2 linked regions of the Arabidopsis thaliana genome follow. The protein of the gene in region 2 purifies or fractionates together with the protein of the main gene of each other region. This does not show direct contact. Each region holds a gene or a part of one and is shown on either strand. Other genes may lie near its edges.

What was found.
Region 1: the proteins of AtRZ-1c (region 2) and VRN1 fractionate together in Arabidopsis thaliana (co-fractionation; one large-scale study listed by BioGRID). This does not show direct contact.

The regions. Positions count from the first base shown.
Region 1 is NC_003074.8:6,547,334-6,553,575, forward strand, and holds VRN1 (AP2/B3-like transcriptional factor family protein), read right to left. Parts: upstream 4,702-6,242; 5' UTR 4,236-4,701; coding exon 4,176-4,235; intron 2,995-4,175; coding exon 2,547-2,994; intron 2,451-2,546; coding exon 2,382-2,450; intron 2,283-2,381; coding exon 2,083-2,282; intron 1,993-2,082; coding exon 1,754-1,992; coding exon of another isoform or gene 1,744-1,753; exon of another isoform or gene 1,432-1,743; intron 1,322-1,431; coding exon 1,219-1,321; 3' UTR 1,160-1,218; intron 1,077-1,159; 3' UTR 794-1,076; downstream 1-793. Other genes in the region: ETP1 (EIN2 targeting protein1), read left to right, coding at 1-428. UniProt on the Arabidopsis thaliana protein: Essential protein. Involved in the regulation of vernalization. Acts as a transcriptional repressor of FLC, a major target of the vernalization pathway. Binds DNA in vitro in a non-sequence-specific manner.
Region 2 is NC_003076.8:1,190,429-1,196,259, reverse strand, and holds AtRZ-1c (RNA-binding (RRM/RBD/RNP motifs) family protein with retrovirus zinc finger-like domain-containing protein), read right to left. Parts: upstream 4,002-5,831; 5' UTR 3,912-4,001; intron 3,810-3,911; 5' UTR 3,800-3,809; coding exon 3,689-3,799; exon of another isoform or gene 1,766-3,688; coding exon 1,227-1,765; intron 1,130-1,226; coding exon 847-1,129; 3' UTR 501-846; downstream 1-500. Other genes in the region: KTF1 (kow domain-containing transcription factor 1), read right to left, coding at 1-191.

The sequences.
Region 1 (6,242 bases), on a different chromosome or scaffold from region 2:
CTCTGTTGTTGCAGCTCGATTTTGAATCTAAGACTGAGATATGGGTGACGAATAAGATTGATGACACCACCACCAAAGGAGCAGCAGTCTCTTGGACCAAGGTCCTAGCATTTGATTTAAGCCCTGATCTTCAATTATTTTCGGAGGAGGTAAATTTTTTGCTTGACGAGGATAAGAAAGTCGCTGTGTGTTGTGAGAGATGGTTGGAACCGCAAGAGCACCACAGGTACCAGTGCAGGAGAGAGTACAAGATCACCGACAAGATATACATTCTCGGGGAGGATAATAAAGTCGATGAAGTAGGTTCTGGAGAGGGAGAGGCTACAGATTCACTTGAAGGAATTTCGCAAGTTATTCTCAATTACGCTCCAAGTTTGGTCCAAATCGAGCAAGCCGGAGGAGGCAAAACAAAAAGAGGTGACGACTAAAACAACCTCTACATGTAATATTAGTTTTTTGTGTTTTTCTTAATTTATTTTTGTCATATTTTTTGAATAATCCCCTGATCGAGCGACCTGGAAGTAGAAGAGGCCCTTAAATTTTCTTGTTCATGTTCTTTGAATAATCCTTTGAACTGATATCTCAATAAGATTGTAATATTGTAGTTGTCCCTTGCTTGATTTACACACGGTTTTCTTTTTTTTTTAAGTTTTATGATCAAAACATGTCTGGTACAGTATATGTCTAGAGAACAAGTGTTGTGTCTAAAACTTCAACCATTTCTAATTCAATGACAAAAGTAACTCATGTTCGAAGCTCCGAGTTTCTTTTTCACCTAAGTTTCAAGTTGTACAAACAACTAGAAGTCATTATTACCCATTCGCATAAATCTAGCATATATTGGACCAAAACATAACCCACAAATTATTTAAAACCACAGCTAAGCTTGTGGTTTTTTTGGGGCATCCAAAGTTGAAACATATCAAATGTTTACTCATGATACTACACTCCTTGATTGTCGTTTAACCTAGTGTTATGCAAATATAAACGCACGCATATCAGCAAGAGATCCATAGAGTTTACTGCAGGGATTTTGACCAGCACTGCATCTTCCTCTCGTTTCAATTATGCATCCCCTGACATCAGCATGACAATCTAACAGTCAACCACAATTTAGTGGTGATCACATGGTTAAGCATGTGCCAATTACGTACCGTACCTTGTAGCTGTAAGAGCGGGTGCCTGCACCTTGGGAATCTGGATGTTTTCTTATGTAATCTACTGCTTCACCTCTGTATGTCTGCTACCACAGTTCCCACCTACAATCTTATATATGCATTTTCCTTCAATACTCCCATTTTCACCAGTATCCTCAAGCAAACTGCATGAAGAGGGTTTCCAATTATCTCAGAGGTGATCAAACAACAACTTCATCAAATTCTAGACGTTGGCTTGAAGGCTATTCTTAAGTTTGTTATCTCAAGTTCCCTCCTTGTATTCCACCAGAACAGTTTGTCTTTCTACTCAAATTTGATGGAGATTAGGTATTTACAGACTTCTTCTTAAACCCTAACTTTGTTTGTTCTACTCAAACAATTTGAGTTCCACTCAAGAGGTTATATATAATGAGGTAAAAACAACTTATCCACATCGATAACACAAAGTAAACCCGAGAGAAAAAACGAGACACTGACGCAATAATGACACAGACCAGAAGAGAGTTTTTTAGTTGTTTTTAAATTAAGATACTCCTACACGACATTGTACTTGCAAATCCAGAATGATCACACCATAATGCTTTGTTCAGACGTACTCGTTGACTCGAAAGGCTGTCACTTTCAAAACGAAATCTCTGGTTCTGAGCAGCTCAAACACACAGACGTCTCCTTCTCCTAAGTTGTTCTCTAGAGTGAATTCGTACCATCCTTGACTGAATTTGGCTCTCCCGGCTTTGTAGAGACATCGAACAGGCCATTGTTTCTCCGCAAGCTGGACTTTGATGAACCCGGAGATCCCACTTAGGTACTTCTCAGCAAACCCAGAAGGAAGATACTGTTGAGAGAAACAGAAACAGAAGGCTTCTTTTAGAGATCAGTGAAGACACCGATAAGATTAAGTCTTCCTAAGATGTTTTTTTATTACCATGATGCAACCTCTGTATAGATAGGATGGTCGCAGAACCACTCTGAAGAAAGGGTTTGTTGGTTCGAACGTTTTGGCTGCATTGATGGCTCTCTCTCTTTCTTCTGCAGTCACGGTTCTCTTTCTCGCAGAAGCACTCTCGTAGAACTTTGAACGGTTCTCTGGATCATCATCTCGCGGAGCTGATGAGTTTATTTCCTCTGTAAGGACAATATCAAAAGGATATATGTATCATGAGGAAGAATCTGTGAATCCTCTGAAAACGAGTCTGAAGCATTTCAAAGAGGAAAAGTGCTTACCAGGATCAGCATTTTTCTTCTTCCTCCCTCTCTTTTTAGGTATTTTTGGGGTTGGCGTTGGCTCTTCAGCTGGAGATAAGGAAAATATCAAGCATCAACCTCAAAAGAATGATAAGACGCGTAATCAGCGATAGATAAAGGGAATCAGTTGGTTATAAATATCACCTTTAACTGGTCCAGTGAACAAGGTTTGGATGGCTGAACTAGCATACCCTTTGTTGGCTGGTACTGTAGACTCAGGAAGTGGTGATGGGTACACAGAAGAAGGAAAGATGACCTCGGCATCTTCATCTTCAAGGTCTTCAAACAAACGGGCGCGTTTGAAGTGGTTGTGAGCGGAATCCATGAGACCGGTGGAATGGTAATTGATCTCAGAGTGGGATAAATTGAAAATGTAGACGCTGAAGGCAGAGTTTCCTTCATATCTAAAAATCAAAAGATAACCAATGCGAATGGAGTAACGGTCAACAAACTCTTGCCAACCATCTTGAAACCAAATTTTGTTGTCAGCTTTCCTTAGTCCTACACGCCAAACATGACCATCAGGTACTGTGAGTGCAACAGCAACCGAAAGCTCATCCTTGAATTTACTCACAAACTTATCTGGGACCCTCTGCACAAGCATGCCGGTATGAGATATAAAGAAGCATATAATGATATAAATGTCCACAATATCTATAAGAACAGCACAGAATATTGCGAGAACATCAAATCGAAACAGACATTTTTCAGCAAAAACATCCAATAAACACAGTAGCTGAAGAAACGACGGCTTTACCTAATTTAAAAACACAAACCAAAAGGCCATATTTCAGTTTAGAGAAGGCATCAACAAGGAGACACAGTCCATTAGTACACATGTAAAATGGTACATTTATCTCTGAATAGATTGATTACACGACTCCTATGATCTTATCACATTAATAATTTGCAAACTTGGTTCCACATAAATGCCTGTGTTAATCGAAATCATTATTCCAGAGAAAATCTAGTCACTTAAATGCCAAATGGAGAGCTAAGCAAATTTGGATTTGTTCAAAACAATGCTCTTGGGGGAATCTGTACAAGTGATGACTAATCACTGTATCAAATAAAGTAGACAACTTTAAAACATAAGCACAATACATAGAGACCTTCAAAACAAGTCAACTACTCAGTTTTAGGGATTCACTCACAAGCCACACAATACTCAATAAGGAGTCTAAGATCTCAGACATTCCTAAGTCAAACAGAGAAAACAGTCAAAATAGAGTAAACAAAACAGACATTTATAATAGAGAAACCATAAACAGATCTCAACTTTTTCTCCTCAGAAGAAATTTGATCAATCTGACAGAATCAAATCGTCCTCCAAAAGTCAAATCACTCAAAAAAAAAAAAAAAATTCCCAAACTACACACAATATGCTGTCAGAGTACAGATATACCATCAAATACCCAATTTCCCACCAAACACAACCAATGACCAAAAGAAACTGTCTTGCAGACTTCCATTGGAAACCCACAAATTCTCATTTGACCAATAAGACAACACAAAGTTCAAAAATGGAACTTCTTTTCATTACCCAAAACAGGGAAGAGTAAGAAGATAAAAGCACAACCTTGACTCGATTCTTACAAAGAATCAATACAAGTGAATTGTAAGAAATCAAGCAAGAGTGTCACAAGGCATAATCTTACAAACTCGTTCACCAGATTCCAAACCTTGAAAACCCTCAATTTCGCACAAAATCAAAACTTTGAAAGATGAGGAGAAGGAGAACAGAGAGAGAGAGAGAGAGAGAGAGTAAGTTACCAGACGTTTTTCTTGGATAGTGGATGAGAAAATCAACTTATGGAAGAAAGGGCGTGGCATGTTCAGACACAACAGTGACGAAGTAAGAAAAAATAGAAGAAGAAGAAGAAGAAGAGAAGACCAGAGAGTCAGATCATGAAACGACGACGGAGAATAAAAGGACAAAGAGACTAAGAGAGAAGAAGAACCCTTTCAGATCTGAAGGAGTTTTGTTGTGTTAAAAAAGTTCATTAGATTTTAGTCAAAGGGGTTACAACACAACAATCTCTCTTTTCTTTCTTTCTTTTTTACACACCTGACCTGAAGAGTGACCCAACCAAACCCAAGAAGATGAAAAAATTAAAAAAAAAAAAAAAAAACCAACTTGTCATAAAACGAAGCTCGAGCGAGTTGAATCTGTGTTAGCTCGGTAGACTCGTTGAGTCGAATCGGTAGGTCACTCGTGTGGTTTCTTTTATTAACTAATCAAAAGCCGACCGCCCCCACCTACTCCCCTTTTTCGACCATCTTTTTTTTTCTTAACAAATATTTCTTTTTTGTAACACGCAATATCTCAGAAAATATATTATTGCCTTATAACAACAAATATATTTGATACTGTTATATATACGTCCTTATTTGCAAACAGATCATACCGTTCCGGAAAATCTCAATTTTATTTAGAACATATAAAAACACTTGTAAACTAGTGTACCGTGAAGCCTATAGACAAATATAGGTGGAAAGGAAAACAAAACTGGTCTCCAAAAGAAAAGTCTTATCATAAACTCATGCCCACAGTATTAATGGTATGTATATACTTAGAGAATGACAAGTTAAAACATGTATAGAGAAATCCAAATACAACATGTATAATCGATTGCAACATGTACGTATATTCATGGCTACCTCACATGCATAAAGTTTTATGTATTTCTTGTATAAATCTAGCTACAGTTAATAGTTATACTTAAGAATAAATAGCCTATGCATACACACTTAAATCCAAAAAGAAGTTTAACCTCTCTAATGTATGTTTAGTATACTATTATTTCTCCTTAGAATATTGGAACTTGACTTGTAGTTAATTAGTTTGGGCTAACCGTTGGCCATCATTGGTCATAACATTATGTTTAAATGGATTCCAATTTATAGTCAGAGAGCCTTGGTTCTGTCTTCTGACAGTATCCTTATGAGCTGTAAGAAAATAAAGGGGTAAACGTAAACATTCCTCTTTTCACCAGTTCGCGTGCATTTTAGAAATTCTTGATGCCTAATTAAAAATTACAAAGCAACAAACTCGCTGATTTTTAAAAATAGAATCCAAAAGTAGATCCAATATCGCATGCATGTCCAAAAGCATTTTATTCAAGCATAATGAAGGAAATTGCATCGTAATTCATACATAAATTATTCAACGGTATGAAAATGTAGATAGAATCATAGAAAAGCAAAACATGTGTGTATATATGTATCACAGTAGAAAAAATAATTTGAATAATCAAGCTCTGAAGTGATTAATATGAATGTAACGTATCGTCAATTTGAAGTTTGTTGAAACACATTAGCTAGTATTCTTTGTATCTAAGCAGGTTTTGTCGGTTTATAAACTTCCTCTAATGGCTTAATCTTGGCTTCTTGTGACGGGCTGAAGAAGAATGATATTGAAAATCTCATTTGAATAACTCATTAACTTGTATGTTTACCACCACTCTGTGCTTGTGTATTCGTGGGTTAAGTTGGTGTTTTAGAAGATTTGTTAAATCTTTGAACCGTGGCAAGTTGAAGGCAATCACGTGATTTGTTTGGATGTATATTTTGTCTTTTGACAACGCATTTATCAACTTTTCAGATCGGTTTATTATTTAGGATTAACAAATGTAAAACACTGATATATATACACTAATGATAAATATTTGATGAGAATTTTTCTTAAATCCCAATTCGAATTTTAAACATGTGAAATTAAGAACTATCGCATTTATCAACATTAGGTCAGTCTACGTATATTTGGAAATGAAAAATGACGAAGATCGCAAATGACACAACATTCTGATGACCGTTTATTTTAAACATAAACATGTAAAA
Region 2 (5,831 bases):
TCATCTTCGTCGGAGCTGCCTCCGTAGTAGCCAACTTCAGCTGATTCTTCGAAGAACTGAAGAACCTCAGGGTTTTTGCGCTTCTTAATCCTCAAACCTTCATCTCTGAATTCGACGGAGTTTTTCCTTTTCTGTCCGCCGGAATACGAATCACTACCGGCGACCTGTTTACCCTTTCCCTTGCGATCCATCGTCTTCTTCACGGTTAGTTTAGGGCTTTCACAATTGCATTTCTTTTGAGAGACAAGTAGCAGAGAGAGTGAAGAAAACGTTTATAGATGTGATTGTTTTCCGACTTTTGAGTGGCTTTTTTTTTTACTCTTTACTCTTTTAAGGCCTTTTTATTATCCAATCGATTTGGACTCTTTATTGTTTTAATTAATTTCTCAACTTTTCTTTTGTCTCTACAATAATATTCTGCTTCGTTTTATTTGCCTATTTGGTAATAGATTGAACTTATAGGAAAAAACGAAAATTTTGACAATATGAAGCAATATGTACAGTATACAAAACAATAAATCAAAATTTTAGAATAACATGCGGATGCCTAAGACACTCGTCTCTTGTACATTGATGATGAAACTAAAAAGGCTAGTTATGTGTGCAAGGTTTAACATTGACTGACGAAGCTCAAAAGTCATGTTATGGTCCAAAACAAACCAAAAATAATAAAGGATCAAAATACAAAGCTAAACAGGTCCGCAAACTAATCATATATAAATAAAAAAGACAAGTCTTTTACACCTATAACGCTTACAGAGATATTCATTACCACAAGCAACACACACGACTGAGTGTATAGAGCTCTAACCAAGCATCATTCTCACTTTCTTTCATTAATGTGTCTTAATAACGGTCAAAAGTGGACGACGACGGATAAGCTCCACCACCACCACTTCTGCTCGGTCTCTCATAAGGAGCACCGGCTCTGCTTCTAAACCCTCTTCCCTCCTCTCCTCCTCCACGGATGGGACCACCAGCTCTACCACCACCGTACCTGTCACTGCCTGCACTCGGGGCTATGTCTCTCTCAAAGGACCGAGCTTTGTCATAGCTCCCTGGAGGATAACGGTCTGATCCACGGCTGTATCTATCACCACCTGCAAACCGATCAGCCGGGGCTGCATACCTGTAAAATCACAGATAAGAATAAAGTTATGTAAGAAAAGCAAGTCACTTTGATAACCTTACAATAATCTGAGTTGCATTAGAAACTTGATTCTAACCTGTCACTGGCGTATCGATCACGGGGTATGTAGGCTTCTCTGCTGTCAAACCTGTCTCTAGCACCATAGCGTGCAGCACCGTCGTATCGATCATCTATGTATCGTTCGCGGTCCACATAGCGGTCACGGTCAGCATAGCGGTCAACACGTCCATCAGATCCTCCATACGCACTAGCACGTGAAGAAAAACCACCAACAGGTCCTCCACGACCACCACCAGCAGAAGGACAATCACGGGCCCAGTGCCCAACCCGTCCACACTTGAAGCATTCATCTTCACCAACACGCCCACCTCCACCTCCACCTCCACCAAAGCTTCCTTTTCCAGCAATCGAGTAGCCACTGTCTCTGCCACCTCTAGAGCCATGACTTTCTCCATCATCTCGCCCCAGTTTTGGTTCAGCTCTGTTCACTGAGATGACCCGATCACCAAAGTCCCTTCCATGCATCTCTCTGATGGACTCATCCATAGCGCGGCGATCAGCAAAAGTGATAAACCCGAATCCACGTGAACGACCAGTATCTCTTTCCAGCATGATCTATACACAATACACCATAAAAGCTGATTTCCCAAAGATATATGCATACGTGTAGCTAAAAGTGAGCAGAAGGGCAGTAGTAAAATGAAACGATTGCAAAATCTGAAAGATCATATCAAGCCCATGTGACATCAAGAAACACCCAACCGTTTTAAGGTTCACTGCATAACACTGTGACCCTGCTTTGTGTAGTAAATAGTCAATCAACCTCAACTTCAGAGCAAAACACAGTACAGATCCCCAGAAACTGAATCAACTTTAAAGTAAGTCTCCAATCTCAAGCAGAGGTAGCAGAAAGCACTAACAACTTTTTCTCAGTTCAAAATGAAAAATTCCTCAATTTAAGCCCTTAGATAGTATACTAGTTCATCCCTATTCTCAACAGCCATGTGATGTAGTTGCAAAACTAAAGAGAGGAAGGTTTACAGAGAAGGAAGTCAGTTAATTAGCTGTACTCAAAATTACTGATCAAACATCTGTTTCTACTCAATATGCAGATATCATCTGACATTGATCCAGCTGAAGTCATTCAGATTCACTGGAGCTGACGATTCTTTACATAGCACCACAACCCACAGATCAGAAATACAGAATTCCTCTCACACAAAGAGCTTTATCAGGTTTCAGAAACTTCCGGAAAAGATAAGCACAGAGAACTGGGGTTGGTGGATATAGAAAATGTGTGGCCCAGGCACAAGAATCATTTTAATTGGCTTGCATTAGAAAATTAGGAAATTTGTAAGACTGAAAAAGAAGAACAGAGAAAGGAAAAGATCAAATCCATGTAACTCCTACTAGCCACACATGGCAGGAGAAGCGAGATGAGGTAAAGCAAACAGCCCACAAGAAAGACAAGTAGGAAATCTGGATAAGAAAAGGATCACCGAAACCTTGAGATCTCTGCTTCAACTGAGTGTAATTTTCCGTTCTGCAGGTTCATACTACGCTGAAGAATCCAAACTGCTTGCACTGATGCTCAGGGTATGAGGAGAAAACGAAATCTTGCGGCAAGACAACTGAATGTAGACTGGGATTATCCAGAAATATGACTACACAACGTAACTACTGCAAGGAGTTCCTAAATATCTTCACCACCTGAAGAAGAACTGAGACTCTGGCCTAAACTGGGTAGCATCTCGAATTGACCACTCAAAACCAAATCAGGTATCCCAGGCCAGCAAACAAACATTTAATTACTAGTAAGAGCAGTAACAAGGAACATTATCAGGAAGTAAACCAAAACCCAGTCACGGCATACTTAGAGAACTCAAGAATTACACATCTCAATCATGAGTTACGAAAAAACAGTCATCCCTCCAGAGCAAAATAAAGAATTTCCTTGATGATAGAAGAAACTGAAGTAACCAGTTACGACAGTCCCAACCTTGTGAAACACATTCCAAAAGTGTGGAAATCAATTTGCTCAGAAACTCAAACACTACTGTATATCCTAAAATCTCAGGCAGTTTAATTCTTTATCACAGAGTAGTTTCTCAACTTGAACCATGTAGCTCTGATCAATATCATCCCTAATTCATCAATCTATAGTGTTTCAGTGATACATTACCAGCATCCAGGAAAAAAAAGAAAAAAGGGAAGATCAATAAGTGAAAAGAGGAATAATGCAAAGCAAGACTTTTCAACTAATCCTCAAACGTCTCTGTATTTCTGTATTATTAGTGTAATCTCATTTTTTCAAGTATATGTTTTCACGATCAGCTCAAGCAAATATACCACTTTCAACTTAAAACATTCCAAAAATATTCATAGACATGTTCAATTCTTATCACAAAGCTTTAGATAACAATCTCTAAATTTCATAGGACTAGTGCAGGCACAAGCTATGATAAACTCAAGGAATAAAAATAGTACCAACCTACACAGAGAAGAACAAAACATAGAACAAAAATTTCAAATTGGTACCTGACAATCGAGAATGTCTCCGAAGCGGCTAAAAGCTCTTTCAAGGTCTCTATCTGTCACTTCCGGCGATAAACCACCGACAAAAATCCTACTACCTTCTTTTGCAGCCATTTTCACTCGTCTATTCACAGAAAACAAAACAAATTGAGGTAAACGAACAAAAAAATCTCCAACGACTAAACTCGATATTAATTCTAGAATTACACGAATAGATTCATCTTACCTCTCTCTGAATCGTATTGTTTCCTTCGCCTCTCAAAATATCAATGGCACGAAGAAACCCTAAAATGGTGGTGGTTGAGGTACTACGCCACGAGAAAGGTACACTACAAGTGCCTAAAGGCTCTGATGATTAACAACAGAGGCCCAGACCTAGGCCCAAATTTCTCTATGGGCCCAAGTCATAAGTTTATTCTGTTAAGCTCATGGATCCACCAATGACCGACCAGAAAAATAAGTCTTTTCTTTTTTCTGTATACTATAAATACATCCTTTAAGCTTGTAATGAGGCAAAAAAAAAAACAATTATAATTGTAGTTGAGGGTTTTTCCCAATAAGATCTCTTGCCAATTTTTACTTGAAAATTTGAACATGCATATAAAAATTACATCGAATATGTTTTAGCTGATCAATATATATTGTTTAGCTTTACAATAAAATAAGATATCAGAAGCTTTATTCCACGTGAGATCCAAGTCACTATGTGTAGATGACCTAATCACGCATTACCTAGCTAATAAACTAACTTTAACCAGCCCACAGTTTTGGAGCAAAACAACCTATAGGATTTGTATATTTATCATCCTAAGACAGAACTCCGACTATCCTGGTACACATTCTTCATTTTTAAGTGTATTTGCACCTAGTAACAAAATTTCTAATGCAAATAAAAAAAACAGTAATGTAAATAGCACAATTTCTCTCTTCTTCTTTTTTTTCTAAAACGTACGTTTAAACAATTTTACTTTTCATTACAAGACGAATGAATTTTTGTAGCATAATAATTTTTATATATTTCCATACAAATCTTAGGGAGGTATGTGATGGTTTAAGATATCACATATTATTCCGGGCTTTACATGTGTGGCATTATGTATAAAACGGTGCCTTTGCAACATCATGTGGATAATTACTAGCTTAGAAGCATCCATGTTCCCATGTGGACAGATATGTACTTGACTTTACGGTCATTACTTAAGCAAGATGGTTAAATATGGCTTAAAATTTGGAGGTATACAAAATTTGTATGGCCAAAAGGCTTTATGAACGAATTCATAAACTGTAATTGTAGAAATAGTCATCCGCAAATGTACAAGGAAATCGGTTTTGTTTTTCTTTATAGGAAAATTTGTTAAACTAAGTTTCCTTTCGAATTACTAAAATGACTCTCAAGATTCGAGGGAAAGTTTTATAAGAAATGCATATAAGAAAGTTTAATTGTAATTAATACCACTTGGATTATTAATTTAATATAATGATCCAGTTGGTGCTTAAACATTTTTAAACCTAACCAATATTATTTTGTACATTTCGAGAGATTCCAACAAATTAAATAGGTCATATATGACATAGATCTATAATAGTATATACTGTTACACTTTGATTATTTGACCTAATATACCATCTATTTAATGTCATCAAAAAGTTACATCTAAAGATACAAAAAAAAATCATATACTAAATTTGTGTAAATAAGATTCTAAAGTATAAAATACAGAGAAATGGAATATAAAACCAAAAATATATATAATCTATGATAATGTGGACAGAGGCAAAGGTACCAGGTTGTCTGCCATGATATGGGTAGATAACTCATCTTCCCAAACAAAATAATTGTGTGCGAAGCTTTTTACTATTGACAAATTTTAATACTTTTAGGAAATTTTTGAGTATCTATAAATTTTGAATATATGGTTACAAAGAATTATAGATGCTAGGGTTTCAAGACGTATGTTCTAATATCCTAACCTTTTAGAAAACTAGTGGTGCACGAACCACATGTTAAAAACTTGATTTGATTATGTATATGACCAGGCAGTTATCGTAAATACATTTGAACGTAATTTCATAGTTAAGAGTTTGGAATAAAAATTACAGTCACAAGTGAAAGCCAACATTTTCGTTATATCTCAAGGCTTCTTTA